Lytechinus pictus: one gene and its partners. The main gene of each other region encodes a partner of the protein of the gene in region 2 in a complex. Links are inferred from orthologs where the notes say so. Each region holds a gene or a part of one and is shown on either strand. Other genes may lie near its edges. The genes, in order: protein CWC15 homolog, U5 small nuclear ribonucleoprotein 40 kDa protein-like, smad nuclear-interacting protein 1-like and cysteine-rich PDZ-binding protein-like.

The links.
Region 1: U5 small nuclear ribonucleoprotein 40 kDa protein-like (region 2) and protein CWC15 homolog share a complex: the UniProt entries of both Homo sapiens proteins name them as parts of the minor spliceosome. The link is inferred for Lytechinus pictus from reciprocal best matches to the Homo sapiens genes SNRNP40 and CWC15.
Region 3: U5 small nuclear ribonucleoprotein 40 kDa protein-like (region 2) and smad nuclear-interacting protein 1-like share a complex: the UniProt entries of both Homo sapiens proteins name them as parts of the minor spliceosome. The link is inferred for Lytechinus pictus from reciprocal best matches to the Homo sapiens genes SNRNP40 and SNIP1.
Region 4: U5 small nuclear ribonucleoprotein 40 kDa protein-like (region 2) and cysteine-rich PDZ-binding protein-like share a complex: the UniProt entries of both Homo sapiens proteins name them as parts of the minor spliceosome. The link is inferred for Lytechinus pictus from reciprocal best matches to the Homo sapiens genes SNRNP40 and CRIPT.

The regions. Positions count from the first base shown.
Region 1 is NC_087260.1:19,048,910-19,057,328, forward strand, and holds the start of protein CWC15 homolog, read left to right. Parts: upstream 1-4,735; 5' UTR 4,736-4,847; intron 4,848-4,992; exon of another isoform or gene 4,993-5,080; intron 5,081-6,092; 5' UTR 6,093-6,123; coding exon 6,124-6,254; intron 6,255-8,419. UniProt on the Homo sapiens protein: Involved in pre-mRNA splicing as component of the spliceosome. Component of the PRP19-CDC5L complex that forms an integral part of the spliceosome and is required for activating pre-mRNA splicing.
Region 2 is NC_087245.1:8,205,420-8,213,487, forward strand, and holds the start of U5 small nuclear ribonucleoprotein 40 kDa protein-like, read left to right. Parts: upstream 1-4,666; 5' UTR 4,667-5,041; coding exon 5,042-5,158; intron 5,159-8,068. UniProt on the Homo sapiens protein: Required for pre-mRNA splicing as component of the activated spliceosome. Component of the U5 small nuclear ribonucleoprotein (snRNP) complex and the U4/U6-U5 tri-snRNP complex, building blocks of the spliceosome.
Region 3 is NC_087248.1:10,825,729-10,833,798, forward strand, and holds the start of smad nuclear-interacting protein 1-like, read left to right. Parts: upstream 1-4,490; 5' UTR 4,491-4,535; coding exon 4,536-4,679; intron 4,680-8,070. UniProt on the Homo sapiens protein: Required for pre-mRNA splicing as component of the spliceosome. As a component of the minor spliceosome, involved in the splicing of U12-type introns in pre-mRNAs. Down-regulates NF-kappa-B signaling by competing with RELA for CREBBP/EP300 binding.
Region 4 is NC_087251.1:29,280,413-29,288,833, forward strand, and holds the start of cysteine-rich PDZ-binding protein-like, read left to right. Parts: upstream 1-4,828; 5' UTR 4,829-5,197; coding exon 5,198-5,213; intron 5,214-8,038; coding exon 8,039-8,104; intron 8,105-8,421. UniProt on the Homo sapiens protein: As a component of the minor spliceosome, involved in the splicing of U12-type introns in pre-mRNAs. Involved in the cytoskeletal anchoring of DLG4 in excitatory synapses.

The DNA of each region.
Region 1 (8,419 bases), on a different chromosome or scaffold from region 2:
GCAGCATGCATGTCTCAGGCTCAGCGGAGCCTCTTGGGTTACCTCGCCCACAGTTCCGGGGTACTTGCTGGATCATCACCGCTCTTCATCGATCAACCGACACGACAGTGACAGTCGAATATCATCAATATGAATATCACTCGGAATACAACCATTTAATCGGCGAATTATCAGGTACTCACCAAATTCTTCGGTCTATATTTGAAGTCTGAAAAATTACAGCCAAATAATAGCTGTGGTCAACATTGCTTTTGAGTTATTTGAGCTGTCAGGACTTATAATATTCCATAAACAATAATAAGTTCACGATCAAATTAGGCTGCCAAAATTATCGGTATCAGTGAACAGTAGAGGGCAACATTCAAATAACTCTTCCTTGCTTTTACAATAAAAATTAATGCAAAAAGGATATTATGGTGCTAATTGAAAGTTTCCGTTTTAAGAAAATTACTTTTATTCGGAAGACTTAGAGCATTAATATTCTCGTTATAGCTAGCTATTTGACATTTTTCTCATAATTTGTTGCACATGAAATGCGGCATGATCCTCCGGGACATCCTCTGGACTGGAATAGAGAATTAAAGGTTTATAATTCTAGGACTACATAACTCCGGGGACGGTGGTATATAGGCCTATAGGGGCAGATCTCAAATGCATCTATTGTTATTAAAAAAGGGACATTATTAAAAGGGAGTCCACCCAAAGTTGATTTAAACAACTGATACCGAAAAAAAAATCGATATCAAACAAGCTTGATGGTGAAAATCATTCATCAAAATCACTATTAATTTTTATTTTACATCCGATTTGATAAACTGCGTTATTATGCTTGTTTGATTTATTTTTTTCTCTATTTGGAAAGGTTTAAACATCTGTTGTACAATTATGTGGGGGGGGGGGGTTAAAACCTCCATTTCTCAACGCGGGAAGTTTTACAAATTTAAACTGTCGGCTAGATAATCGTCAAGCATATACCTGAAGTAAAGACCGGAAAACCTATACAGGAGAAGTCCTTCAAGGACGTGATGTGAAAGCAAAGTTAACAGCTCATCAGGGAACCAGCTGAAAGAGGGGATCGACAGCCCGCCTGCTCGATCCACCAGTTGATAATTTGGTCTTTGATTATAACAAAGATAGTATGGCCTTCTTCTGAATATTTTTTGAAATTTACTTTTTCCGCACGCCAATTAAGAGTTGTCTTAATTGGCATATATACTTTGCAGATGTTTTTGTCCTATAATTTCAAGTTTTACTCACCTTGGCAATTAATTAACTTTAGGAAAATCTGGTGAATATTTTCATCCATTTTCCCCGATAGGCCGCTATAAAAGCTTATTAGTTGTGGTAGTAGATAGTATTTTTTATTTTGAAGGGTTATATATTCCCAGGCAACAAAAGACCTAAGTTTTTTTAGTACATTTCCACATTATCATTATACAAACAAGGTGATGTAACCCCTAATTCAAAATGCGAGCGCAAAGCCGAGTTCCAATTTCGGATATTTCGTGAATAACATGAAAACATTAAGTTTTTGGACCATGAAGTAAAAAAATATGAGCACTGAATCGAGCTGAATTTTCATTATTATTTTATTTATGTATTTTTTTACTTCAAATTAATAGATCTGTAATGATCATGGCTTAATTCAATTTGCAGTAAGTCATGCAGAGGATCATTATCTCATTCTATTAAGGTTAGGGCAAAGCCGGAGCCAGTTTGAAACACGCTTAACATTTTAAGCACGTTTTTGTTTTGTTTTATTATTATTGTAAAAAAGAACAACTTACCGTCAGGGTACTTCAAAACACACTATGCGAGCACAAATCATGAACTGCTCTTAGAGAGGTGAGGGGGGGGGGGGGGGGGCAAGAGCAACAAATTTCCCGGACATGATTTATCATGGTCTGAACAGGATATTTTTTTTATGATTGTGCCCGAAGCGTATAATGATAAGTACAAAAAAAGAGCCAGGCGCGCCTGAGGCAAAAGCTACTAAATATACAAATACACAAATATAAGTCTCGAGCGAGCGAAGCGAGCTATAGCGAGAAAAAAACCCACCCTTTCATGAATCTAACTTTGATTTTGATTGATACCGCCCATGGTATTCAGAAAATAGCATCATAATTTATTTTAAATCTTCCTATCCTTTCCTTTCATCTTTTTTTTTTTCTCGGTTGCAGAACCTTTGGGGGCCAGTGCTGTGCGGATCAGAGTTTGGGGCAGTGTGGCATTGGTGGGGGGGGGGGGGGGCAACACGATTTTTTGCCTATATTTCACAAAATCGAGCGAGAAGCGTGAGCTGATTGTTTTCAATGCAGGCCCTGGCTTTAAAAGGGACTGTATATAGCTGTTTGCATTGGGTCATGAAGATGATATCTCACCAAATAAATAATGCAAGCGCGAAGCGCACGAGCTGATAATTTTTGGTATCCTGAGATGATAACTGGACGAAGCACTTTATAATATCATGAACTGAATGGCTATCTTACTAAACAATAATTTGATTTTGATTTATGAAAATTATGAATACGCAGGATGTGTATCATCTCAGTGCTAAAAAACTCTAGTCGCGAGGAGCATATTGACTTGAACACTGGACTTTTAAGCCCCATGTAAATGATCTCAGTCAACAGTTACTGAGATCAAGTAGCGCGAGCGAAAATTTTAATTTTATATACTTTTATGGCCTGAAAGATTTATGTTGACAATTGAGCTATATACAGTGAATGGATAAGAAAGTTTTTAAAATATAAAGAACGAAAAAGCTGTTTTGATCGAGCACTTTGCAGCTTTAGACAACATTCTACTTTTTTTTTTTTGGGGGGGGGAGCAAGTGGGGGGCCAACTCATTGAAGGCAAATACCCCCCCCCCCCGTGCCTCCCCCTTGGTCCGTCACTATGTCTGGGGCCGCCGCCGCGGCGGAACCTCGTTTGTTTGTTTGTTTGTTTTATTTCCGTCATAAAAAATACATAACAATATATAAACAAGAGATACAAGGAGTAACATACACATACATAATGAAATGAATTCTAAACATTGATTAAAAAAAAGAAAAGAAAAAAAAATGATTGATTGAAACATGTTAAGAAAGTTAAAAGATCAAACTTAAGACAGGAGACGGTTGGATAACCCATATTCAGCTGCACCAATTATATGTGCGGCTGGTCTTCCATGGGGACCAAGTAAAAAGAGAGTCATATAGGGAGCGGAAAATGAGAACAGAAAAGAAAAGACAAAAGAGGGAAATGAAGGAAGAAAGAAAAGGAAAGGAGAGAGAAAAAAAAAATCACTATCAGTTTGCTTACTCCTACCCCACTACCCCACCCCCCCAAAAAAAAGAAATCAATGTCTCAAATGTGACAACGCTGATCTAAAAGAATTTAAGGTCATACAATTACGAATATTATTTGGGATACTGTTAAACAACTTAGTCCCCCTATAGAAAAATGTGCGTTTGCAATAATTAGTTCTGGGTTTGGGGAGGCACAAATTATTTTTTCGAAAATGGTAAGGTCTTGAGGTGTAAAATATGTATTTTGTTAGATATTTGGGAGCCAAATCATGGAGGATCTTAAACATCATTGTTTGAATATGAAAGTTTTGCCTAGACTTCAGGGTTTGCCATTCCATTATTTCATGAATTGAGTCAATAGAAACATGTGACCGATTATTAATATTAAGGATAATTCTACCATGATGTTTTTAAACATTGCAGATGGCTACCTTTTTTATCAAATCGCGGGTATATACACATAAAAACACATAACTTCAACGCAGTTGCGGATAATATACTAAATATTTTGAGGCAGCACAGCATAGCAAATTTGGCCTTTTCAAATGATTTTGAAATGAAATTCTAATTATGTGATAGTAGCTTTGGAAATCTATAGCCAAATAGCAAACATTATGAGGCTTTTTTCGATACCCAGCATAAAGCTTTACTTAGGTTATAGGACATAGAGGGATTTAATAACTAGCCCTTAGTATTATTTTTTTTGTCCTGATTGCGACCATATTGCATTAAATTTAGCATGCTCATATAGACGCCATCCACCTTTCTTCCCGTTCTCAATATTTTTCTATTCTCGGCAGCCCGGTCGTTTTATTAAATTCTTTTCTTTCTTTTATCTTGTTCATTTTCTTCATATTCTGATTTTCCAATTTAGCCATTTTGGGTCTACCTTCATTTCCCGTTTATTTTTGTCTCTTTCTCCCATTTTCCCGCCATTCTTGCCCGTATCATTGAGTCATATCTTAAATTTTTATTTTATATCCCTCTCTTGCTAATCATGCTAATATATTAGTATTTCAGGATATTTTGAACTTTCTTTTCACCTTCCTTTTCCCGCTTTCCTTCCATTTTCCCTATTTATGTTCTTTCTCCCTGTCCCTTAGTCTTTTCACCTGGCCGTTTCCCTTTCCCTTAGTTTCCCCCTTTCCTCTTTTTTTCTTCCTTTCCCTTTCCCCTTTCACTCCTTCTCCCTTTTCTCTTTTTCCCGGTGAAATATTCTCCTTTTTCTTAAAGTACAGAACAATTTGGCTTTTGAAAAAAAAGTCTTATAACAACTTTTCATTTTAGATGATGGTTAATCTAAGTATGTATATTTTGCATTAATATTATTGATTTTTTTATGCATTGATAGTTGTACATATATCTCCCTCTTTTTTAGCGGCTCTTATATTTGAGTCCTATTTGCCCTCCACTCGTGCCAGGTGGCATCACAGTTTCTTGTTCTTATAATCAATGCCTGTAACTATTATGCTTACTTTTTTTTAACGATCGATGCATGCTTAATTGTTGTTTTACATGTTACCCGTAATTAGTGGTTGAAATGCGATCACTGTAAGTGTAAAGCGCAACATTGATAACATATTTTTTATTTGTAAAATTTTTTTTATTGTAAATAAAATTTACTTTGAAAAGTAAAAAAAATGTCTTCTAGCTTTCTTCTTCTTGTGATATCCACGGTATTTCCGTTTTGTCGAAATTTGTACTTCACATTTTTACCTGTAGATGGCGCCAATCGCGACTCGATTATAGCCAGACTTGCGAAATTGCGTTTTTGTTTAGTTTGGGTAAGTGGAGTTTCACAACTAAATTATAGATTTAATTATTCTTTATGCTTCTCGTTTCATAGATTCATAACCCTCTCTACATGTATGAATGCATTACCTCCCACATATGTTCCCGCAATTGTACAGAAATATAACACCTGCATTACCTTGGCTTGATCCATTTAATGACTCCCTGCTTGGTATCAGATCACGAAAAAAAATCATTTACAGTCCCATACATTGAAATTGGTGTCATGTCACCTACCGTATGTCTGCCAAACAATTCATAAAAAGTGTGAGAGAAATATGTGATTTTCTTGGAAAAAACCTTGGCCAGTCATTTCTTTTTAAATTTCAGTTTGACTTGAAGTTAACTGAAGTACAAAACAAATGCCTGCGTGCGCGCACTGCACCCAATGTCATAGACAGGAATAACCGTCGTTTCTGGGGATTTATTCAACAATTTCTGACATTTTACTGTAATCCCCATTTACCCATTTATGTATGGTGAGTGGAGCCAACGTAGTTCAGCGGAACAACCAAAATACAGAGACTGAAGCTTTTGGTCTACCAATGTCAATGATCCATTCACTTTATGTTTACACACGATTCAGGGATTTTGACGAGAAAGGCTGCATTTTTAGGTCGTCACATGAAATGCCTGAAATTTGTTACTCTTATACAATTTTAGTCCGATTTAAAAAAAAATTATGATTAGATTCTATCTGTCTAAATATGTATTGCATGTCACATGTGTACAAGTTTTGGTAAGGTAAGATAATTGTATCAGATGGAGGTTCAAATGCCATGAATTAGGTTGGTATCACATTTTACTTATTTGGAGACCTTTTTCTTTGCTTGCAACTTTTTTGTAACCGCCCCTTGTAGCATGTAAGTTTGCTGTTTTCAAAGTGCCTAAAGAATTTGAAGACATTTTATTTTTTAAAACTTTCTGAAAATGTTTTGTGTTTACTTGGTTAATCTCTGCTTCTAGTGTAACCAGATTACATGTTTTCTCTGATATCAAATTCAGTAGTCGACGAAGGAAGGATAGATAGCCGAAGATGACAACAGCAGCACGACCAACGTTCAACCCAGCAAAGGGAGGCAGTGGGAAAGGAGAAGGGGATTTGAGTGCTCTATCCAAGCAGTATTCCAGTCGTGATCTCCCAGGGCATACAAAGTTGAAATACAGGTAAAGCCAAGAGAATGAAAGTTTTAGATTTGCGTCCACCGCCCGCATGCTCCAAAACCACCCGCACGAAAATTTCATTATTAAAAAAAAAAATCATTTACTTACTCACGAAATTACGAAATTACAATTTCCAAATCATCGCAGGGCAGTAAATACGCACTTACTACGTGCATACGGTATAGCACTGCAGCGCACCTTCGATCTTCGCACAGCAAGCTAGCTGTGGCAAATTGTCCATAGACTGTGTACAACGGATAGACTGTCTCGGCTAAGCGAATCGGAGATCGCTGATTGGCCAATCGCGCAGAACACGTCATGACTACGTGGTCGCCAAAATAATTCCTTCGGACTGCGTGCGAAAGTATCGAAAGCGATAACGATATCCGGTCACATGGTCTTCGCGGGAAATGGTCTTGGTTCGTGATCGGATCGCTCCAGTATCGATCAAAAATTATTGAAACTCAGTAATTTCATGCATATTCACGCGACGCTCCCAAACCCGGAAATCAATTGACTTTGTACACGTTGCGATAGACTCTACAAACTCCAACGAACCCGATGCCATATCGACGCTAATTCGTAAGATTTTGACCGAAAAGCAAGAAGTAATCGAAATTCACTTACCTGTGCGGTATCGGTGAGAAAATAGATCTTCCGAGAATACCTTTCATAATTCATATAAAATATAGGAAAGTGAAATTCTAGGTCGATTTTGGTACGAGGTGATAGAGAATTGCACACTTGTTTTGGTGGAATACTGTGTGGGGCTATGGAAGGCTTGCAATGCAATGCGCATGCTTACTATATTTTCATTCATAAATTGGCTCTCGGCATGCAGTGGCTGGGATGACGTCATGTAATAAGCAAAATGTACACGGCCGCTAGCGCTAGATAATGAATAATAAGCCTCATGCCATTTGAAAAATTTTCGGATGCAAATCTAATACCTTACTTCTCATGGCCTAAGTGTCTGTACACTGTATCGAGTTAGATATGAGTGTATTTTCTAAAATTTGGCATGAAGGTTGAGTATGGTATAGCGAAGAAGCCTATCGATTTTGGTGTGGGCGGAGACATCGTTGCCATGGAAACAAGTTTTTTTGGAAATAGCAGAGATGTCCTTGTGAGCGCTCTACCAGCTGCATTTCTTCTCCGATCATCTTCAAATGTAGCATGAAGGTTGAGTGTGGTAAAGCAAAGCCGCATATTGATTTTGGTGTGGGCAGATACATCGTTGCCATGGTAACAAGTTTTTGTGGAAATAGCAGAGATGTCCTTGTGAGCGCTCTATCAGCTGCATTTCTTCTCCGATCATCTTCAAATGTAGCATGAAGGTTGAGTGTGGTATCGCGAAGCCGCCTATCGATTTTGGTGTGGGCAGAGACATCGTTGCCATGGTAACAAGTTTTTGTGGAAATAGCAGAGATGTCCTTGTAAGCGCTCTAACAGCTGCATTTCTTCTCCGATCATCTTCAGATGTGGCATGAAGGTCCATTATCGTAAAGCAAAGTCGCCTATTGATTTTGGTGTGGGCGAAGACATCATTGCCATGGTAACGAGTTTTTTGTGGAAATAGCAGCTATTTCCATGTGAGTGCTCTATTGGCTGCATTTCTTCTCCAATTATCTTCTGATTTGTCATGAAGGTCCATTATGGTAAAGCAAAGCCGCCTAATGATTTTGGAGTGGGTGGAGACTTGGTTGCCATGGTAACCATATTTTTGTGGAAAATAACAGTTGGCACTCAGAAGCAATATTAGAAGGTGAAGCGAAGATGCCTATCATTTTGGGGGGTCTTAGGGTTAGGTTTATAAAATATTTCCAGATTACTCTATAATTGTATTCCCCAACACATGATACTGGACAATATTTTAGGTTCTGCAGAGTCATGCTGCTACGTCATATTATTGTCATCAAATTTGGTACCCACAGGCAAAATGTGGGCAGGGTCATTGTCGCCATGACAATTGTATTTATTTGTCGAATATCTGTGTGAGCTCTATATATCGCAATGACGGATGACGCGGTGGGTTCGGGGGATACATGTGCTCGGCCGCGCGACCCGCCGAGCATCTCTAGTTTAATCTACAGACAGTGGAGGTCCATTGAATAAATCTGTGAATGACAAAAAAGTGAGATAAAGCTGTAGGATACTAGCTGATTATC
Region 2 (8,068 bases):
ATCTTATTTCATCTTGTGCAATTTGAATCAATTATACTTGCATTTACGTGAATGACATGTATGTAATTTCAACAAATTACATTTTGTGAGTTTGAGGGACGTAGTCAACCCATTTGCTCAAAATATTTATTTTGGCAAATCACATGTAATTCAATTGTATTTTCTATTCACAAGATCATGAAAGAATTTCATTTTATTTTTCATTTCAATGATTGATCAAATGGATTTGATGAGTATGATTTAAATCATATTCAATCATTACTTGGTTGACATTACCTTTCATCAGCTGTTCCCTGTTTCAAGTACATCATCACAGATTTAAACATGGCAAATGTATATATTGGACTAAGGAAAAATTGAACAGCAGTTAAACCTCAAAATGTTCATTCTAGCCCTTAATTGTAAGTTGAAAAAGAACGATAATGGATTTTCAGTACAAAGTGTTGTATAGATGAACAGAAATATGTGAACTGACTCCCATTCAGAGCTGCGTCTTTTCCCACAGGAATTCCACAAGTGTCTTCTCCTAAAGTTACCTTATAACACTGTCGTAAATTTATTTACCGGTACTGTTTTTGTTGTATAATTCAAAACCTTTCAAACTTTTTGCAAGAAAAATAGAGAAATTTGGGATACTTTCTCATTTCAATTCTGAAGTAGTTCCAATAGATTCTGATAGAACTGTATGTAAACATAGCTTTGCTCCTCACCATGGTGTAAACCAGTTCAGTTCCACATTTTACTCTTATTCATTTGTTTGTCACTTTATATGGTCCAAATTACAATCGTCATTTCTTGTAATTCATGTTTTTAAAAATTGAAATGTAAGTAGCCTTATTTATACAACTTCTTACCCTGCTTTGATGGAAAAAAAACAAGTGACAATGTGATATTTTTTTTCAATCACAAGTGAAAGTGCCCTCACTTCCGCAAAGATCAGTGGATCAGTATTACAATACATCCTTATTCCTAGCATGAATGTTTTGCATACTGTATATATCAAGGAAGAGAGCAACAAATTCACATGTTAAAACATATTTCAATGATATCATATGTCACTGTCACTTGAATCCTTATGTCAAAGTAAGGTAGTAAAAGTTGTAAAAAAAGGGGGGGGGGTATCCGGCAAAATGTATTTGTCACTGGCGTAAATCCTTGCGTCACACCTGTTGTTCAGGGGGGATGATCTATTGTTCCATCCCCCCCCCCCCCCGAAGAATAGGTGTGACTCACGGATTTACGCCAGTGGTATTTGTAATCATTCATGCATTTTGTTTTTATTGTTTTCAAAATTGTGAATGGCTTTCCATGAAAGACTTGTTGTTCAGAAAGTTTTGAGTTTATTGTTCATGTGGAATAAAGGATGTACATTTTGACTTATGAAAAATACACATTGTATGACAACTGACAAGAATTACAAGCAACTTTGGCCTGCCATCTTTTTGTTGTTGATGTATGACTCTGGATAGTAGGATGAGCTATGCTATCTATCTGACTTATTCATTCATTTTTTATATTTAGCCTTCATTCAGATCCAATTCTACCCATGCTCTCCTTTTCTTTCTCTCTCTTTCTCCAATTGCCCCCCTCTAACCCTCCATCTGCCCCCCTCCCTCTCACCCCCCTTCTTCTCCCCCCCCCCCCTTCTTCTCCCCCTTTCTTTCCTGCAGTTGGATGTTATTTGGTCACTCACCAAATATTGTTTGCGACCAATGGGCACCAACACAAAAAGGGCCCTTAATGGCATATGACACAAACTAAAATTGGTACCTTATATTTATCATAAACATACCCAAAATGGTGTTAATGCAGTAATCACACAGGTCAAGAATATTTAGTGGCATAAAAACCCTAGTTAATGAAGACAGAATTTGTAAGTTAGACCCTGGATGTCATAAATGGCACTTAATTGAAGCATCCCCATTTTAAAAGAGGAAATTTGACCCTGTTTATGTGTTTCTTTCTTCTCTTTTTTTTTGTTTGGGGGTGTTTGGAAATGCATTCGTAGCACAATGTGTAGTAGTATGTGCCCTTCTGATTTTGTGTGTTCTGTTGATTTGATTGATAAAGAAATTGATTGTGGAGTTATTGTCTGATTGGAATGGTCTGATTTGTTATTAAAAAAAATGTTATCCAATGTGAATTGTGTGTGGTTGTTAATATGTGTGCCAGGGCTACCCCATGTTTTTGTTCCATAAGGGGGGGGGGACAAGATGACCCATCTTTTTCTCAGTTGAAGTACAGCGTAACAGAAAATTAAATACCAATACCTTTTTTTATGATATTCTTTCTTCTCTCTTTGTATTCCTCTCTGTTTTTTTTTTTCAATTCCTCTTTTTTCACTACTTGTAAAACCATAGTAGTAAGGGGTGGTATTCTGAGATCCATTTTATCTCAGATAAAATAAAATATTTTATCTCCGTTAAAATCAGTGAGATAAAATACCCTTAAAATCTCTCCGAATTGGTATTCTGAGAACAATTTTATCTTCATTTTATCTCTGTAAGACACACCTATTTTTCAATCAATATCCAATCAGAAACGCGCTTTTATAGCTCTCTCATATCACTCAACCAATGGAAATCCATTCCGCTAGGAGGTGTGGCGAAGGAGTGAGATTGCGTCAATTTATTGACTTCAATACGCTTGCGCGTCTTTACAGAGATTTCTTTTTTTTAAACAAAAATGGCAATAATCTCATCTTTTTTTCGAAGTCTATATCGCATCTATTAAAGCATCATTTCAAAGACGATATTAGTCAAGAAAAGTCTTATGAAATGATTCCTGATTGTACAGGAATAACTTTATGGTGTTGTTCTCAATGAATATATCATTTTTCTTAATTTTCATGCCAACATTTGGAGTTAATTCACCTAGAAATATTGACGAAATCAACGTCGCGGAGATAAAATAGCACCTACCCTCTTTTAAGTTTATTTTATTTTTTCTTCAAAGTAACTTGGGCGCAAGCACATCATCCGCGTTGCAATGGCCAGATACGCAATGGGTATGTCTACGCAGCCACTGCTCTTTTGCATATCATCATAGATACGCAAGATAAAATTTATACGCAAGATAAAATTTTAAATTTTATCTGAGAGATAAAATGTCATCTCAGAATACCAATTTCATTTTAAGAGATAAAATAAAATATTTTAAAGATAAAATGACCTCAGAATGCCGCCCCTGGTCTGTTAGCGAAATTATGTGGACACGATGGACAAAAGCATGATTTTTTCTCCAGACCTTTGTTTATGTATAAGAAGTAAAAATGGGGTATGCTCCAAAAAATCTGGCTGCAGGAACAGTGAAAAAATGGGTGAAAATGTCAGAATTTATGAGTTTAGATTGGTCTGATATATAGACTAGCGCTAGTGCAAAACTCAATAGCAGTGCATTATTTTGCATAGGTTTAGTTCTTGAATTCAGACCCCTTTTGAACAGATTTTCTGTTTGTCCTCGCATCTCAATGCACCAAATATCTGAATGCAGATGCTAAACAAGCCGAAGGGTGGCGGTGGAGGGGGTTGAATGTTGGTGTGTATGTATATATTTTGGTCTTGGGGGTAAAGATGTGCAATACACATTTTTTGCATGTGTTGGAAATTGCGTTGCCATGGTAACAGTGTATTATGGCCCAAAATTAGGTAAAAATATTGCAGTTAGAACTTCTTCCTCTGTTTTCAGAAAGACTTTACAAATTGCTCATGTTAAAATTGTTCTTTGGAATGGGGTAGAGAGGAGATAGAACTTTGTGAACTTTACTGAAGAGAACTAGAGTGGTACCTTCAAGAAGGTATTTAGAAAAAGGCACAGAGTAAGGTAAGGTATCTAATAGTGCTCAACTAAGGAGGGAGGGGGGGGGGTGGCTGTGTGCTCCAATCTTAGTCTAGCCCCCCCCCCCCTCTTTATAAGCCATGTCATCTATAAAATTATCTTTCTTTCTTTCTCTCCCTCTCTCTCTTTCTCTCTCTCTTTCTATCTATTTATGTATCTCTTCCTTCTTACATCTGATAGGCAATAGCCCTAGGAAGATTTTGATATACTAGTAATAGGTCAAATGCAAATGTACTAAAGTAATATGTTCTCATTCTTTTATTGTTTCCTCATTCAATCTTATGTATATCTGGTAATTATATAATTGGGGCAGTTCTGGTATCCTGATATCTACACAAAATTTACATACACCTTTATATTACAAGGTGAACAGGGGCCTTTATATATTGTCATTGCATTCACTGTTGGGCTATATGCAGGTAGGATATGTAGACATCCATATAGTGAATATAACATATATGAGTAACACATTAAAATGGGTCATTGCATAGAAAATAGGCATTTTCAATGCATTTCTTTGTGCTAGCGTGAGTGTACAGATATAAAAGAATAGCAAAGTAGCTATTTAAAAAAATAAAATTCATAGGTCATATAATAAAGGTGCCATGAGCCTAATTACATTAGGAGGGCTAAAGATATTCGTTCGACCCAACCCATTCGAATTTTTTCAATTTAATATTGCTGATTGACAAAAGTGTATGAATATGATTCAAAATCTAACACTGTTTCTAGAAATGGTAACTACTGAGCTTCCTTTGCCCAAATTGGGAAGATATATCAATGATTTGGAATTATTTTTGACTGGCGGAAGAATTGGGGCTATTTTACTGTTTCAGTTGATGAATTTGATCCCATCATATAGTTATCTTCATAAATGGCGATTTATTTTTAAAATGAGCTGGCTACGATACCCTTCTCTGGTCAGATATGGAATGTCAGATATATATCCTATCCAAAGGTAGTAAACATTCGACCCTCTAATTTCACATTTATTTTTTATGAATTTTTCTGAAGTGCCATTTTAACACACAAGTCTATGGGGAATGTTTTACGCGCGTGACACCGTAAGATCGTATCTCTGTGAATGCCAACTACTATAGCGCCATCTTACAATGATATCTAGCCAGCTAACTTTGCACGGTGCATGGATCCAGTGAAGGCCCACCGTATTTTTTTTTAGTTTACATTTGCACATCTCGAAATCATGCCGGTGATGGACCACAAACGGAAAGCAGAGGAAGGTGCTTTAGTTGCAGTTAAAAGATCGAAGCATCATGAACTTGTGGCTGCAAGCAATCAACAAAATGCTCTCATGCAAGCGGTAAGAATTAACTTTACTCTTTAGTAAGCAAGAATAGACTACTCGACATTCTCACAATGACTATCATACGACTGTATTCCCAGTTATGCGATTTAGCTTCCGTGCCATGCGAACATTACAATCACGAAATCGTGATAGACTTCAGAGAAGAGGCGGTTTATACTAATTGCACGCACCGTTAACAGGGATGGCTTCCTATGTGGTAGACTCTGAAATGACTGGAGAGAAGAGTTTCTGAATGTTTGTCTATGCCCAGCTTTTAGCTTTTTTTGGTGACTTGAATACAAATAATGCTCCCTTAATTTGACATACGTGTGCAAAGAATCAACAGATGACGGTAAATTCATGAAATTCCTTGGCGCTAATGCAGTTTGAACTAGGCCTAGTTATGTGACAAAAAATAATAAAAAAATTATCTGATAGTGATATCAATAAATTTGGTGTCATTTGAAAACTCTTAAAAGGCCTTTCAAATGATACCAAGAACTCTAATTTTCATCAAGGAATTATAAAGTTATTTCAGTTTAAGTTGCGCATATTCATCTAAATGTGTGGCCGATGTCTTATTCTTAATGTAAAGTCAATGTAATACATAACCGATTTTTGTGACCTTTTGAACCCAAGTCTTCAACAGGCTCTAACTTCTTTGTTTTGGGGCCCTTTGGAGTAATTTTGGTATGAATGGAAAGGTGAAAGAACGCTCAATTGATGTGTAATCATGTCACTTTGTAATTTTTTTCTTAATATGTGTACAATAATTTCTTCTAATTAATTCAAATTAATTATTCCAATTATGCATTGTTTTTGCCAAATGATGGTGATCATGATAGATAATTTATGAAATTTAGTTGGCATCGAAACAGCATCATGTGGGAGATAATTTTCGGCAAGACTTCCCTAAAATTAAACAAAAAATATGGAGAAGGTTTGTCAAGAATTAAATATACTCACTTGTGTTAAAATGTATTTTATTGAAATATTTATACTTCTTGATTTGTAGGTTTTTTATGAAGATTGTGGTAAATAAAGTTTCAATTTCAATCTAACATATATCTAAGAGATTTAGGAAGGAAAAGTTGGATACATACCTGATACCAAAATGTGGCTTTATTCCGTCAAAATCTCGAGTGTGTGTAATTCCCAATGTCATCGGTTTATTTAGTCAGAAAAATAAATACCCAATACTCTTGGAGAGTAGACTAGTCGTAATATCGGTTGATAACCGACACACGATAACCGTTATGAAACCCATGGCTTTCAACAATTCCTGGTACATGTAGCTCAGTGAGTAAGGCGACAGACTGGAGATGCTTCGTTCTGCAGCGAGAGGTTCGAATCCAAGTTCCAAGCTAAAGTAAGAAGAAAAAAAGAAGATAAAGAGAATGAAAGAAGGGGGTTTTGGAGAAGTATTTTTTTTAATTAGTGGAGGGGACATAAAGAAATCTTTCCTAATTTTCTTAATGAAATTGTTTAAAGTATAGTTTTTGTAATTTCTAATGTATTTCTTTGTTTTTCAGGTATAAATTACAAGCCTTTTTTCAACTTCAGTATTGTATACATATATGTATGGGGTCTTTTTTGACATGAAAATTATCATTTTGTATTTTGTATGGTTTAAAAATAATGTACAAGTGTGCTATTTTCTAATGTATTTGATTGTTTCACCAATTCCTTCTCTTATGTATTTTATAGTTTCAACAATTTGTTATACATGTAGGCCTATAATAGCTTTTGATTTTAGAGACCCTGGGCATTTGATTACAATTTAATTAAGCTTTGATATATTTTATCAGTTTTCAATGCATTTCTTAGATTTGTATACATATTATGAAGGCCCTGTTTGAGCTCCCTTTTTTTTAAAAAGAAAAATGAATAAATTCAGATTCTAAAGTGAAATCACTGCATATAAATGTAGACATACTTCCATACTATTATGAAACAAAACAACAAAATTAGCAAGATTTTGTGGAAAAGAACTTCACAATCCAAACTTACCAATCTCTCCATTGATAAACTTGAAAGGCACCAAATTATTGGTTGAAGACAAAAGAAAAGGAAACGAGTGGTCTATATCTTTAAAAAAAAAACCTGAAAAAAAAACAGATATCAAAGCTCTAAACAACAACAAAAACAGACATCAAAGCTCCAAACAACACTAAAAACAAGAGAAACAAAAGTGACACAAAAACTTGTACAAATCCCATCCCCATTTTCCAGTTAGAGACACAACCCCCCCACCTGCAACCCTCATGCAAAAAAAGGAAAATTTAAAAAATAGGGGGGAAAAAAGATTGATAAAAAATACAGGACTAGACCCATGTGGAAATGAACAATTATTTCCTCTGAGTTTTCATGTATTTCCTTACAATCTTGAGTGAAAAAATCAAACAACATAATTTTTGCATTTTAATTTAAAAGTCAACATTCATGATAGGCCTATTCCCCTTTCAAAAGCAAATCCAGTCTCCAAATAATGAAACATGATTTAAAAGTTTCCATATATATTTTTTCTACAAAAGAAAAAAAATAAACACCATAGATTTTGCATTTTAATTTAAAAAAGTCAACATCAATGTTTCACTTTCAAAAGCAAATCCAGTTTCCAAATGATGAAACGTGATTGAACAATCAACCACCTTGAGTCACATTGGGAGGAAAATGTATTTTTGCGACAAAATGTATGTATTAAAATCAATATCAGAATAATAAATCTATGGTATAATGACAGAAATTTTCAGAAAAAAGCACAATATTATCAAGTAACAAACAATTCAAGATCCAATTCAATCCAGCATGAACAACTCACTATCCACCGCTCCCGTCACCCAGCCCACGGCATCGGGCAGCTTGACTGCCGAGAGACTGCCGAGAGACTCTTATATCTGGCCTGCGTGTTGATAGAATCAGCTC
Region 3 (8,070 bases), on a different chromosome or scaffold from region 2:
TCGGAGTGCCGGAGCTTGATTGAGTCGAGTTGTAGGAGGGATGTTATTGGAATATGTGAAATACTATGTAAATGATTTGCGATTGTCGGATGAGATAATTATGTAAATTAAAACATATTAAAAAAATACAGGGGGAACCTGATTTCGTGGGGGTGCTGCCTATGGAAAATAATACACGCAGCACCCCCATGAAAATTTCTGGGGGTGCTTCAGCACCCCCAGCACCCCCGCTTCCCAGGTCCATGTGACATCGCATGTTTCATTTCCTGTATCCACATCTTTTTTCATTCAATTTCTGTTTCAAAGATATTACCGCTATATGGAATGATTAATTGATCATTATATAATAAAGAAAGGAATTAAGGATATTCATAAGCCTGATTTATATCCCTTCCTCATATATCTATCTCCCCCTCTCTCCATCTCTCTCTCTCTCTATCTATCTATCTACAATGGGTATCAATACACTTTGAAAAAGTCCTGGGAATTGAAAAATATACAACATGGTGATAATTTGTTCACTTATATACTTGGGTTTGGGTCACATCTATCAAATAAAAGTAAACATTTTGACAGAATGTTACACTTGAGTGAATATACTGTCCATTGATTTTTGTTAAGCTTGCAGAAATCGGTTGCACAGAAATGCTCATTTTGACGCTATGTCAAGCACAAAGGGCGAAAGCAAACTAACCGTGTGGTAAGGTACATTTCTCATACATTTCCTTTGTATTTTTAGCGAATTGAAATAAAAACAGTACGCTCAACCTTTACTCCTTTCTTGTGCCAGCTGGATCTGAGGACACAACTGAATGTAAACAAAAGTTTATTTCAGACATCTACATGCCGCACTAAGTTTTTATCATTTAAAGTGGGACCACATTTCATTAATACTTGTTTATCCCCCGGGGTTTCTCCACACTTTTCCCAAGCTTGAAAATGATATTAAAGGTCAATTCCACCCCAGAAAAACGTTGATTTGAATCAATAGAGAAAAATCAAACTAGCATCACGCTGAAAATTTCATCAAAATCGGATGTAAAATAAGAAAGTTATGACATTTTAAAGTTTTGCTTATTTTTCACAAAACAGTTATATGCACAACTCAGTGACCTGCAAATGAGCCGTAAGATGTTATAAGAATGGTAATACCACATGTTCAGGTAGGAATAAAACTTCATTTCGCAGGACAATGAGGAGAAAATTAGAATAATTCATATTTCATATAATAAAATAAAAAAGAAATAGTGAGTGAGTGATGTCATCAGTTCTCTCATTTGCATACCGACCAGGATGTGCATATAACTGTTTTGTGAAATTAAGCGAAATTTAAAAATGTCATAACTTTCTTATTTTACATCCGATTTCGATGAAATTTTCGATGTTATGTTTGTTGGATTTTTCTTTTATTATTCAAATCAACTTTTTGCTGGGATGGACTTGTCCTTTAAGTGGTACTCACAGTTATATATCGTCATTTGCTTTAGGAGATCTGTACAAATGGTTACATGTGGAAAAAAGCTTCAGGATATTACAAATCTATAATTTTACAGCATTATTTCTAAATGTAAACTGTATACGCACTGTATATCTGGGGGCTGATTTTCAAGATTTCAACCAATATATAATATTTCAAGTATCTTATCAGATTTTCAAATATTCAAAGCGCCTAAACACTTTTATTAGACTATTCTTAAAAAAAGGTGCTGAAAACCATTATTCTTCATGATTTCAGATTTACATATTTTGTTCAAAGTGGTAGTCATTGTGTGATTCCATAAATTACTTGGGGAAAAATAAAAATAAAAACTAACTGGCAAAAAGTTATCTTATATTTCACAATATACAACTCCCAAGAATGTTTTGTAATCTGAAAACACTTTTTGCCAGTTAGTTTTTTTTTCAGGAATTTTCAAACTGAAAAACAATTTTTCATGAATAAGAAATCTGAGCTGATTTACCATTTTTATTTAACAAATTCATTTCATTTCAAATTTTCAACAAAACTATAAAAAAAAGTGCCGGAATTATGATACAGCATATATTAAAATGAAATGGGAACCTTCTGGAAAGCATATAGCTATAGTTCCCTCCGTTAAAATCACATTACAAATACAAAATAATCCCATGTATTCGTATTTTGTTTGGCACCCAGTTGATTGGGGTTTAAGGATTTAACCCCTCTCTTGGGCTGCCAAGTAAAAAAAAGTAATAATCTACATTTCGGATCAAACCCCTGATTAGCTTCATTTTATAGTGAACCTTTTTTTCTGGTAAAATGACCTTCTTTTTTAAAACCATCTTTTTTGGGGTGTAAAAAGTTCTCAGTACTCAAAGGACCTCCTTTTGGTAGTGAACCCCTTTTTTTGTCTTGCAAGAACATTTCTCGGTACCCAAATGACCTTCTATTGATAGTGAAACCATTAAAAAACCAACATTTTTTTTTTATTGCTTGCTTGTCAAATTTCTCGGTCAAAATCCCCTCCTTAGAAAAAAGCTAGATCTGCACCTGTCATCATATTGATCATAATCATCATCATCATCGTCGTCGTCGTCGCTTTATCATCATTATCTTCGTCTTCTTTCTTACATTATTCTTCTTCTTTCTCATTTTTTTTTCTTTTTTCTTCTCTTTCATCTATTTCCCCACGACTGAGATACTTTTTTTTTGTTTTGAATAATATTTTATTTTCTTCCTCTTTCAAATCAATAAGTTTACAATCACAATTCATATAAATAAAGATTCTTTGTATGTATACAATCAATAAACAATCAAACAAATAAATATATCAATATCAATGAGATTACGAATATTTTTAAAATGATTACAAATTAAATTAAACTGCCAAATTTCTCTTCTATAACAATGTGAAAGCAGAGGGGAAAAACCCGTATCAATCGACAAAAATAAAAAAAACGTACTTTGTAAAAAATGAATTTTTCCCTGAATAGAATAGAAATAATCTCTTTTGCACATATTAATTGTACGAAAAAAAAGAAAAAAAAAAGGATAAAATATTATTTTAAAGGTTAATTAGAGGAAGGTTATCCTAAAACGTCCCTACACACTCACCTTACCCCCATACCCCCATACCCCCTCCCCCCCTCATCTCTCTCCCCAGACACTCACACAAGCTCACTTCAAACCACCACTACTCACAGCTCCCCCCCCCCCTCTTCCCCGTCACAAAACTCACACATCCATCTACACACGTACACCCACACACAATGCATCCTGCTCTGGTACAATTATCTGTATTTGAACAAATAAACAAAACAGAAACAAAATGAAGCAACCAATACATCCATAGTATTAAGAAAGGTATGCATTGATTTGTTCCCATTTCCTTAAGTGCACCCCCAGCTTCCCCTTTTTAAACGCTATTTGATATTCCGTATCTCTATACTCTTTAACCAAATGTGTCACTTTCTGTACGGTTGGCAATATTCCCTGTTTTCTTGAACTAAAAATGATATACTTAATTAAGAATATAATACAGTTTATTAAAGCTACTCTTGTAGTATTTCCAGATATCCCCATGAAAATTGTTTTCCAAACGTCACTGCCAAGTTCATTCAGTTGAAATATTTTACTCATCTCTTCCCATAATCGCTTAACTTCAGGACAATAAAAAAATAAATGTTGGTAAGACTCAACTTCTTTTTTACAAAAGGAACATAAATTATCTGTCTCAAAACCGAATTTAAAAAGTTCCCTTTTTGTGTACACAGCCCCTTGTAATTGTTTGTATTGAAATTCTCTGTGTTTATTGCATAGCATTGCACATAATCAATTTGAAAATTTTCAATGAAGTGGTCATATATTCGTCTAGATTTTATATCACATAGTTTCTGAACATGCCCACATATCATCAATTGAATTTCAAAGTTGTCTGTATCCATTTCCATAAAATCATTTTGTATCCACTCTTCTGTTATTACTGAAAATATCTTTTGAATTTTGAGCAAGTTTTCAGATGAAAATTTCAGATTATACCAGTATGAAACTGGTCTTAATTTACCTCCAACTATTATATCCGAGACCTTAACTATACCTTTCTGAAATAATTCAATATAAAAAAGGTCTTATTATTAAGGCATAGACGCTTGTTATTAAAAATAATGGGATTACTTTTCCCTCCAAAATGTCTACACTTATCCAATTCGTGTCATGCCTTCAGCATATCTATGTAAAATAATGGTATACCTTTTAAATTCATTCTAATCGTATCATAATCACACAGAAATATGATTCGACCACCTAAAGAGCTAAAAAAATATTCGAAGGTTGCTTTCCAACCCGAACTTTTCCCTCCATCTAGCAAACGTTTAATCCACATTATTCGTTGGGTCTTAACAAAGACCTCAAAATTTGGAGCTCTCAGTCCTCCAACAGAATAGTCTTGATATAGAACCTTGCGTTTTATTCTATCTCTTCCTCCCCAAATAAAGTTAAAAGAAATACGGTCTTTTGATTTCTTTTATAGCGCCATCTTCCGTTGGGCATTAATGTAGTTTTTGCAGAATAGAGAAAAATGTCATCAAAGTCAGACTCAAGAAAACATCGAAGCCACGACGATTACGATAGACATCGTAGTCATAGACCAAGATCTCGCAGTAGAAGTCCGAAAACTAGTAACAGAGAAAAGGATGGTAAATCCCATCGCTCTGAAAAATCGGTACGTAGCGGAGCAACTTATTACAATTTCAGACCAAACAGATCCGGCTGCCGGCTGCGACACCTCGAATGGCACATGCACAAAAAATTAACCCGGCCCTAGCCCGAGGGCCGGGCGAGGCGCGAGGTCAGGGCAGCTGGCGGGCTGGTACGGTATGTATGGTGAAACTAATTTCAAAAGCCGAAGCAATACCTAACGTTATAGCCTATGCTATGGCTATGGATGGAAACTTCGACTGTTATTTCTTATTCGTCAATCATGTACACCGTTTTGCCCCTGTCATCATCTTCATCATTTATTAATCACTCACACTGACTATTGCGAGGTTAGTATAATTTAAACTATAAATGTATATTCTATACTAACTAGGCCTATAATATAGTATACGAACCTCGTCCTCGCACAACCATCATGTTTTTGTAGTGGATTTTAGAGTTGTCGTTAACATCGCTTCATAACGTGAATGATGTTAGCCGAAACCCATTCCGCTACTCACCAGGGCTTTTTATGGTATAAAGCGTTCCATTTTCAATTTTTAACATATTTTTTTAATTTAAAAGGATACAAAAAAGAGCAAAATCGCTTACCTCCGCCTGGAAAGTGGCTTCGCACGTCTCTTCCACGGAAATAATAAGGAGGTCGTTGGTGGCGCTAATACAGTTCACAACCTTAATTCAGCTGTGTGTTTTTTTTTAAACTAGATTCATGATTCATTGTATGCGCAATTCCAATAATTGTTTGATAAAATAGAGACCCCAATAAATGCAATAACTTAAAAAAAGTACTTTTTTATTATTTTTGCTGACGATAATACTTTTTGGAAAATATTCAAAACGATGACAAATTAAACAAAAAATATAGATAATTCTATGTACCTTGAACAAAGCCCCGCAAGTGCTACCGTTCGTTTGTCAATTAATGTTCCACCAAAGTCTTTACAGTAAAAAGATTGAACACTGCCGACTTCGCGTAACGCTTTGCATCGATTTACGTGTAAGATAATTTCTGTGTCTAGTCTTTCAATTGTAGTGTCTTTGATATGAAGATAAATCGCGCGCCCTCTTTCGCTCATTAGACGAAAAATTTGAGAGCTAGAAAGGTAGTGTAGGGTTGAAGAAAATTATATGTTTGGAGTTGAAAATAAATGAAGTTCTAAATCATCAAACTGAAGGGGAATGAAGCAGACGCAAAATGAAGAGAACTTAAACCGAAGGAGTCTGGTTGTACACTGTTTAATATCTGGGCTATTTTGCCTCAGCTTAACTTTGGATCACAGTATAATTTACATAAATATTTAAATTAGAAATAACCAATCAAACTAAAGAAAATGGAAGGATCGAACTAAAATGTAAGAACCCAATTCATAAGATAAACCAATAAGGAATGAGATGAGATGACAAAGATGTCTGGTGATTATGTAATAATGGAAGTAAAAACTAAGGAGTCAGGTGAGGGATGGAATGAGTGGAACACCTGAAGAGAGAATAGAGAAGGAATGAAGATGACAAGAGAAACACAGGAAAGGCATTCAGAGTAGAATGAATGAATGACAACTGAATATCATTAAACTCAAATAACCTTAGTCCAGACTGCAAGGGCAGTACTGAAAAGAAATGCAAATGAACTAAGATCTAGACAGAACAGAAATGTAAAACACCTTAAGAAAACACAAGTCAAAGGAAATAAACAAAGTAGGTAAATGACAAATTAACAATCCTACAGTAGCTTTCGTATTTTGTCAACGAGAAGTAAAATCAACGCTTAAATGACGCATTTTGAGGGATATTCATCAAATTATGAGGAATTGACTTCACATCGTTTCGTTAGTTTCGTAGGAGGACTTCATTCTGTAAGTCCTCGTATTAATTTTTCGTAAATTAACGTTATTTGTTGAATGCGCCGTGCCTTCAATTATTCTGTAGTCGGCGGCTGAGATGTAGCCGTGGGTGTTTATTAATCAGACATCAATCATTGTCGCCGTCGTCGCTTCATCATTTCATGATCATCATTATGATCTTCGTCTTCTTTCTCATTTCTTTTTTAATCTATTTCCCCACGACTGAGATTATAATGGGTCTTTTGATTTCTTTCAGACTCAAAGTCGCGAGTCGCATTCAAAATCAGACCTTTTCTTCGCTAGTTTCAACTTTAAATAGTGATAGACAAAAGCTAATCTCCTAAAGAGGGCTAACTTAGCTTTAGTCTACTCTAGATCCACTCACAAAAAGTCACATGTATTGCGAGGACAGTATTAGTATACTAACCTCGCACCATGAACCGCGTTTGGCAGTGGATTTCTAACTAGTGGGTCGCGCGTGCTGCGATCCCACTTCTGGTGTCCACAACACACGACTTCTATGGCTTGATTTTTCTGTGTGCAGCGGCATGTAATGAACCCTTGAGTGACTAGTTAGATCAGACTACGCTACTGGTTGAAAAACCAGGATTGTCCAGAAAGCTGCAAACGATAACGTCTAAATAGAGAAAATTCTAATGAACTAGGAGAAATCATGTCTTGATAAATTGAGATTGTCTTTGTTTATTATACAAACATTTTTGTCTCACCTGCATAGCAGAGTGAGACTATAGGCGCCGCTTTTCCGACGGCGGCGGCGTCAACACCAAATCTTAACCTGAGGTTAAGTTTTTTAAATGACAGCATAACTTAGAAAGTATATGGACCTAGTTCATGAAACTTGGCCATAAGGTTAATCAAGTATTACTGAACATCCTGCCTGAGTTTCATGTCACATGACCAAGGTCAAAGGTCATTTAGGGTCAATGAACTTAGACCATGTTGGGGGAATCAACATCAAAATCTTAACCTAAGGTTAAGTTTTTGAAATGTCATCATAACTTAGAAAATATATGGACCTAGTTCATGAAACTTATACATAAGGTTAATCAAGTATCACTGAACATCCTGCATGAGTTTCACATCACATGACCAAGGTCAAAGGTCATTTAGGGTCAATGAACTTTGGCCGAATTGGGGGTATCTGTTGAATTACCATCATAACTTTGAAAGTTTATGGATCTGATTCATGAAACTTGGACATAATAGTAATCAAGTATTACTGAACATACTGTGCGAGTTTCAGGTCACATGATCAAGGTCAAAGGTCATGTAAGGTCAAAGAACTTTGGCCACGTTGGGGGTATTTGTTGAATTGCCATCATATCTCTATAAGTGTATTGGTCTAGTTCATAAAACGTGGAAATAAGAGTAACCAAGTATCACTGAAGATCTTGTGCGAGTTATAGTAGTTTTCAAAATCAGCACTGCTGCTATATTGAATCGCGTGATGCAGGTGAGACGGCCAGAGGCATTCCACTTGTTTAAAATAACTTTCCCCTGTGGGACATAGCAATAAATACAGGAACTGATACT
Region 4 (8,421 bases), on a different chromosome or scaffold from region 2:
GATTTTTTTGCAAGGTCACTTTTAATTCTAAACTGTTACGCGGCCCCCGGGCGCGAAATTATTTTTCCCACCGAGTTCTGGACCAACATATGAATATTCATGACTTGCGTCTTCGGATTAAGAGTACGCATGCGCGTGGACTCTGCATTCACGTTCAGTTGCTCAGAATGAATATTAGCATCGTCAAATTACCGGTACTCTTACATAGTTACATATGCCTTATATATATCCAATTCTTAAACACTTTTCAAACTAGCTGCCATTAATGGCAAGACATGTGCTAGGCTAGGGCTCGCTTAGGCTAGCGCATTAACTTTACCTCAAATCTGGACCTGTCTAATGCCTATGTACTAATCAGTGTTGTAGTGCCTTGGCCTTGAACATTCAAGCCTTGGCCTTGGCCTTGAGGATTTTGAGCCTTGAAATTTCAAGGCATTTTCAAGGCATTTTGTATTATGTACTTTCATTTGTTTTATAAGTAATTATAAATGTTTCAGTTTTTTTTAAAATATTTAATGACACTATAATGGTCAATACTACCAGTCACCAGTAACATTAGCAGCAGCAGCAGTAGTAAGTGTACTAGCAGTGTCATCGATTGTAATTGTCACCATTATCAAGAATTTTCAAACAAAGAATACATCAGTTATGAAAATTAGCATTATGTATTGGTAATGTGTTGTAATCATGACTAATGATGATAATGACAGTAAATAATAATGATCAAGATCAAGATAATAGTGCTTTGATGACAAGAATAAATTTGACATCTGACTGCAATTTTGACAAAAATGTTCGTACTTTAAACATAGCTAACTCTAAAGCACGATAACAAGGTTGATTTCTATTCCATTAGGATTTTCCTTGTATTATTTTCTTTGGCCAACAAGAATGTTTTAAGTCTTCATGATATTCTGAAAAGATTTGGTAAGCTTGAACACAGTCTTCAATTTTGTCATATCCAAATGGGTTATGTCAATGGCATGATGAGCCAGAAACTTTGAGGGGCCAAGCATGGCATATAGAGCAACATTTCTGTCCAAAAAAAAGAAGAAAGCGATTGAAGCGAGCGAGTGAACAAAATTTGTCCCCCTCTTTCTATAGGAAAAGCTAATTTTGCGATAGATTGTTTAAAAAATAATATCACATTTACTCCATCTTTTCCTTTCCCTTCCCCCCTTATCTAAGTGTATTCTTGGTGGTAGAACTTCTTCTTCTCTCTATCTCTTTTCTAAATTGTATATTTGTTTTGGGTCAGATTGACAAAACAAAGGGGGAAAATGTTTACTTCTTTTTAATCATATATCGTTCAACAGTGAATTTCATTTCTCTACAGTTTCAAGGAAATAAACAACGTATTTGTTTTTGTGTCAATATGGTTTCAAGAAATAATGATTAATAAAAAAATAGTAATTGAATAATTAATTATTATTAATATTATCAACAAGTATTAATGATGGCAAGACATGTCCTAGGCCGCATACATTCGTAATTCCGAAGCTTCGTTATTCCGAAGGTTCGGATATTCCGAAGGTTCGTTATTCCGAAGGTTCGTATTTCCGAAGGTTCGTAATTCCGAAGGTTCGTTAGTCCGAAAAAGAAATGAGGTTCGTAATTCCGAAGGTTCCTTAGTCCGAAAACGAAGTGAGGTTCGTAATTCCGAAGGTTCGTTAATCCGAAAACGAAATGAGATTCGTAATTCCGAAGGTTTGTTAGTCCGAAAACGAAATGATTAACGAACCTTATTTCGTTTTCGGATTAACGAACCTTCGGAACAACGAACCTTATTTCGTTTTTGGATTAACGAACCTTCGGTACATCGAACCTTATTTCGTTTTCGGATTATCGAACCTTCGGAATAACGAACCTTCGGAATAACGCCACAAATGTTCGGATTAATAAAGGCAATTTTCGTGTTTCGAAATTACGAACCTTCGGAATAAAGAACCTTCGGAATTACGAACCTTCGGAATTACGAAGTGTAACCGTGCTAGGCTAGGGCTAGCTTAGGCTAACGCATTAACTTTACCTCAAATCTGGACCTGTCTAATGCCTAATACTAATAGTAATAGCCGACTAATGCCATGGTTTAAAACTTCGAACCAAATTCCGAACTTTACGTTTGATTTTATTTAACATGGTTTAATATTTCTAGTCCGTATACAGAACCAGTCCTAGATCTAAAAAATATCTTAGTTCTAGTCTAGTCTCTAGATCTAGACTCTGATCTACGCTGTATCAGCATGGAACAACTAGTGTACCAAGGGGGGGGGGGCGCAGACTGCCCCCTGACAATTTACAACTGATCCAGGGGACGTGCCCTCCCCCCTTTGAGAAGCCAAATCAATAATTTGTAATGTCAAAATGCAACAGAAAAAGACTTATGTCCCCTCTTTTGAACGTGAAGATCTTTTTTTTTTTGCTTGTCAATTATTTTTCAGCTAAGAAATCCTTAATTTGGGGGGGAAGACGGGGATCAAGATCACTGACGTTAGTTTGTGCCTGACGTTATAATACGTTCCATGCAATGCAGTGGCGTAGCTAGGATTTTTTTTATGGGGGGGGGGGCACTGGGGGGTCCTTGCTTTTTCGGGGGGGGGGGGCCACCGGCCATTTTTTCCGGTGTGTGTGTATGTGTCACGAGGGCGGATCGGACTTTCGCCAATAGGGGACGGGGCCCGAAATTATTTCACCTATGTTTTCCCCGATCAGTCACTTCTTAGTTTTATTCTTATAAAACAACATAAACATGAAATAATCTCATAAGCCTTATAAAAAGTGTGAGCACAAAGCGCGAGCTCAAAAATTTGTGATATTCCAACCTGAAAACTGGACACTCTAAGCATTTTTTTTTGTGAACGGGAAGAGATCGAGTACAATAATTGATGCGAGTGCAGGAAGCCAGCCAAAAATTTGTGATATTCCAACCATTAAGCAACATTCTATACATTTTTGTTACCATGAGCAGGATTAGTACTGTACTAAACAATAATTGATGCAAGCACGATTCAAAATCTGTGATTTTCGAACCTAAAATGTATTATGTTTTATTATTAAAGAAGGTATATTTCTTTTTTAAAAAGGGCATATTTCATTTGGAAATAAAAATCCTACAGGGATTTTTTTTTTTGGGGGGGGGGGGGGCTAGAGAGCACAAAACGCAAGTTAAAATTTTTAAATGCTTAAACTGAAAATGAGTCATTTTTTAGGACTCTTGTCAGCTTTCTTTTTTTTTCTGCTTACAACCACTTTTAAATTTCAATTCTCATTTCTTGTATCTTCTACACTTATTTTACCTTAAAAAAACAGAATAAAGAATACTAACAAAATAAAGTTATATTCAAAAGGATATAAAGTAAACAGGGCGCACCCCATACCCTTAGTTGGGAGAGGGTAAATCTTAATTATTTCTTTAAACAGTTAATCAATCATTAATTATTAATACTTGTTGATAATATTAATAATAATTAATTATTCAATTACTTTTTTTTATTAATCATTATTTCTTGAAACCATATTGACACAAAAACAAATACGTTGTTTATTTCCTTGAAACTGTAGAGAAATGAAATTCACTGTTGAACGATATATGATTAAAAAGAAGTAAACATTTTCCCCCTTTGTTTTGTCAATCTGACCCAAAACAAATATACAATTTAGAAAAGAGAGAAGAAGAAGTTCCACCACCAAGAACACACTTAGATAAGGGGGGAAGGGAAAGGAAAAGATGGAGTAAATGTGATATTATTTTTTAAACAATCTATCGCAAAATTAGCTTTTCCTATAGAAAGAGGGGGACAAATTTTGTTCACTCGCTTGCTTCAATCGCTTTCTTCTTTTTTTTGGACAGAAATGTTGCTCTATATGCCATGCTTGGCCCCTCAAAGTTTCTGGCTCATCATGCCATTGACATAACCCATTTGGATATGACAAAATTGAAGACTGTGTTCAAGTTTACCAAATCTTTTCAGAATATCATGAAGACTTAAAACATTCTTGTTGGCCAAAGAAAATAATACAAGGAAAATCCTAATGGAATAGAAATCAACCTTGTTATCGTGCTTTAGAGTTAGCTATGTTTAAAGTACGAAAATTTTTGTCAAAATTGCAGTCAGATGTCAAATTTATTCTTGTCATCAAAGCACTATTATCTTGATCTTGACCATTATTATTTACTGTCATTATCATCATTAGTCATGATTACAACACATTACCAATACATAATGCTAATTTTCATAACTGATGTATTCTTTGTTTGAAAATTCTTGATAATGGTGACAATTACAATCGATGACACTGCTAGTACACTTACTACTGCTGCTGCTGCTAATGTTACTGGTGACTGGTAGTATTGACCATTATAGTGTCATTAAATATTTTAAAAAAAACTGAAACATTTATAATTACTTATAAAACAAATGAAAGTACATAATACAAAATGCCTTGAAAATGCCTTGAAATTTCAAGGCTCAAAATCCTCAAGGCCAAGGCCAAGGCTTGAATGTTCAAGGCCAAGGCACTACAACACTGATTAGTACTAGGCATTAGACAGGTCCAGATTTGAGGTAAAGTTAATGCGCTAGCCTAAGCGAGCCCTAGCCTAGCACATGTCTTGCCATTAATGGCAGCTAGTTTGAAAAGTGTTTAAGAATTGGATATATATAAGGCATATGTAACTATGTAAGAGTACCGGTAATTTGACGATGCTAATATTCATTCTGAGCAACTGAACGTGAATGCTTACGACCAGCACTGGTCGAGGCAGAGTCCACGCGCATGCGTACTCTTAATCCGAAGACGCAAGTCATGAATATTCATATGTTGGTCCAGAACTCGGTGGGAAAAATAATTTCGCCCCCCGGGCGCGGCCCCTGTGAATATTGTGTCTCGCTCGCTCACAAATTTTAAAATTTTAACACCCCAAAATCTACTGAGATATTGTTTGAAAATTAATTTGAAAAACACTCCAAGCAGCTTTTTCTAAAGTCTTTGTTTACAAGTACCATGGCATATTCGGTTGTATTCGAAAGAATACCACTGACTGGTCATCACTGGAGAAGACAAGCTCCTCGAGCGATTTGATGAAGTCCGCCCTCTAGCGATTTGAGCAGCACAAAATATCTGACAAAACAAATCGTCTTTCGCTCTTCCTGAATATTCGGCTTCTTGTCTTTCAATGAAGTTTTGATAGATTAAGATGGTGTGCGAGAAATGTAAGTAGACATGCCGATGATTTCGCATTTTATAAATTATATCTATAGTAGTGAAGTTTCATTGTTTAAAATTGAAACTCACTTTTTTGGCCTTTTTTGTAATGTATTTTTGGTTTTGGTTTAGGGCTTAAAGTTAAACACTACACAGTTTTCAATATGTGGGCAAGTGGAGTGATAGCGGATCCTTGACTTTGAGTTTGTTATTATTGTTGATATCAATGACTTGTAAGCTTCCTGTATTTCAAGCCTGTCTTTAAGGAGAAGTTAACCCTAACAAAAAGTTTATTTATAAAACTAGCAGAAAAAATAATGAAAAATATTGCTGAAGGTTTGAGAAAAATCCATGTCCAAAACACGAAGTACCGTCCATAGTCGTACTCGTAGACGTAGTGGTTTTCAGCAATCCTACAAGAAGCCACCGGGAGTTACACTTACAGGCTTGCGCCTTCATCCTGTACCAGATGATGATGATGATGATGATCAGTCTTGTAGTCGATTCACCATGGTCCGAGTCCGAGTCACCAAATTAAAATGTCATATTTTAATTTGTTTACTTTAAACCTTTTAAAATTACTTTAAAGTTTTAGTTTGACATCATACAATCAATCAAAAACAATCACTCACCCAATCAACAATTGTCAATTGATTCAAATCAACAAATACTTTATCAATTACAATTAAAGAGAAAAAATGACAAAGTAAAGGGAAAGCTGTTGACTTTGAGGTAAATAATAATTTATGTACAGTTATGAGTTAACTCTGCGTAAGTCGAAGTCGCATAAGTCGAATAATCAGAACATCCAGGACTCGTTTGCAAATATCAGTGCCTGCAAGAAATACAACATAATGTGTCTTTGATGCCACAGGGTCTTACCCATTTCAAGATTTTACAAAAGCATGAACAATTTGTTGCTCTTCATTCAAACATCATTACATCAATAGTACCATCTTTACAAATATGTTGTGTACAAAATTTGTAGAAAATGTATTACTCTAAACAAATGATACCAAATGTTCCTACTTTATTCAATATCATGTGTTAAATATCAATGAAAAAATTTGAAAACTTCAAGATGTAAGAATCTCAGAAACAAGGATTTTATATCTTAAAAAGAAAAAAAGAGAGAAAGAAACAGTTCAACTGAAGTGTGATTTATAGACTGCCGAGTTCGCCCTACGATACAGCCTAGTTACCCTTGCACTCGTATACACAATACATGCAGCTGCACAGTGCAATGCAATGATGTGCACAGCTTTTAGCGTTGAGGCAAATCATGGGCAAATCAACTTTATTATCAATCGTAGGATATACATTTTCCATGAAATATTATTGGAAAAATACTTCAAAATAGTGAATAATACTGACTATTAAATTCACCAGATTAGTATTAAATCTTCCTGCCTCGAGCCGAGTCATCGAGGCCGCATGCTACGAGGACGAGTCCGAGTCACGGCATTACGAGGCCAAGGCAGAGGACTGGCAAAGCCTGCCTCGAGACCTCCAAGACTGATGATGATGACACAAATTTGAAAAAAAGTCACTGAGTCTGAAAGTTCAATACTGTAGGGAGTGTAGAAGCTAGAGATCTAGACTATTACTTAGACCTTAGTATTTGAATTTTAATGATATGATTTGTGACGTCATATGCTAGCAGCTTTACTACAGTACACATTGTATGGAAAAAATCAATGAAATGAAATATAATTTTCTCAGAAAATTGAAAATGTTTTTTACGGTATGTTCAGTAGACAATAGACAAATTATTTCACTCCCAATTCCCGTTCCTAAAAATGAAATAAAAATAAGTGAGTCATCACAGACCATTATTTAAAAAAACTTGAAATTCATGCATTTTAATTTTTATATTACAAAACATATGGGACAGCTGTTCGTTTATGTCACAGATCCAAAACTTAAAATTCTAATAACTTTCTTAATCTTTCAAACCTTCACTGATATTTTTAATTATTTTTTTCTGCTATTTTTACAACAAACTTTCTTCCGGGTGAAATTCCCTTTTAAGTTTAACTTCAACTTTATTCTAAGTATAGCTCGGGTACCCCCTCCCGGCCTCCCCCAAGTACATCGAGGCCTATCACTGCACTTTTCCATTTCATAAATGTCCTAATACTGTCTGTATTGATGTGAATCATGGAAGGTATGAAAATGAATTTACAGTCAGTAGACTCGTATCTAGATCACTCATTCAATGAACAAGGTCTAGATTTACTCGATCATTTTGGTAGGGTGCCCAATGGTATATCTGCAATTTCCCCCTTTTTTTTCACATGATATGAAACCTGGTTCAAGCAAAGAATGGGCTGAAAATATTCAAGATGTAGATCTATTAATTGTATCTTTCTTTGTTTCTGATAATACACTAACTTAAGTAAATGTTTACCTACTTTCGTTTAACTACATGTAGTGTTCAACTTCAAGGAATCAAGTATTTTTTAAGAAAACATTGCAGAGAGAGAGAGAGAAAGGGTGCTAGATACAAAAACCAAGCCAAATTTTAATTCTAATGGTTGAAGAAAGACTTAATGGTCACTATACTTTTGTAAGGTTGGATTGTTGGATGATACACAAGTATAATTCACTTTATTGGCCCTTTAACTTTAAATGTTTCACCAAAGCCTTAGACAGGCTCTTAATAACCAAACTTGGCTTGCTTCAGAATTGTTGTAACTAGTTTTACCAAGGGCAGCTCATCATTGATGATGATCAGTCTTTTAGAATAATTGACAAAAGTGAGTGTATGATCACCTTCATCTAGGCTGCATTAATTATTTGCTTGTCAATTCCATTTTCTAACTATTTTTAGGTGAAAAGAAACTTGGGAAAGTAGTAACACCAGATCCATGGAAAAAAGGAGCAAGGAACACGACAGGCAAGTGGACTTTGTTTTGTTTTTTTCTTTTTAGCATACCAGTTTGTATGTAAAATTTTGCAGTGAAATTTTTTTGTAGTGACTATCTTTCGTGATTCTACCTTCTTTTTTAATGAAGAGTATTCACTGACGATATTATATATTATGTTGTATTTCATTTTCATTATGTAAAATATCAAATATTTTCATTTTTTATGAATTCAAGGATGAATTTCCTCACTGAATTGTAACAAAATTAATTCATTGAAAATTTTACAATGTTCTGTAAGAAAGCTAATCAAGATTTACTGTTTAACGTTATTGAAGGGAAATAAAAT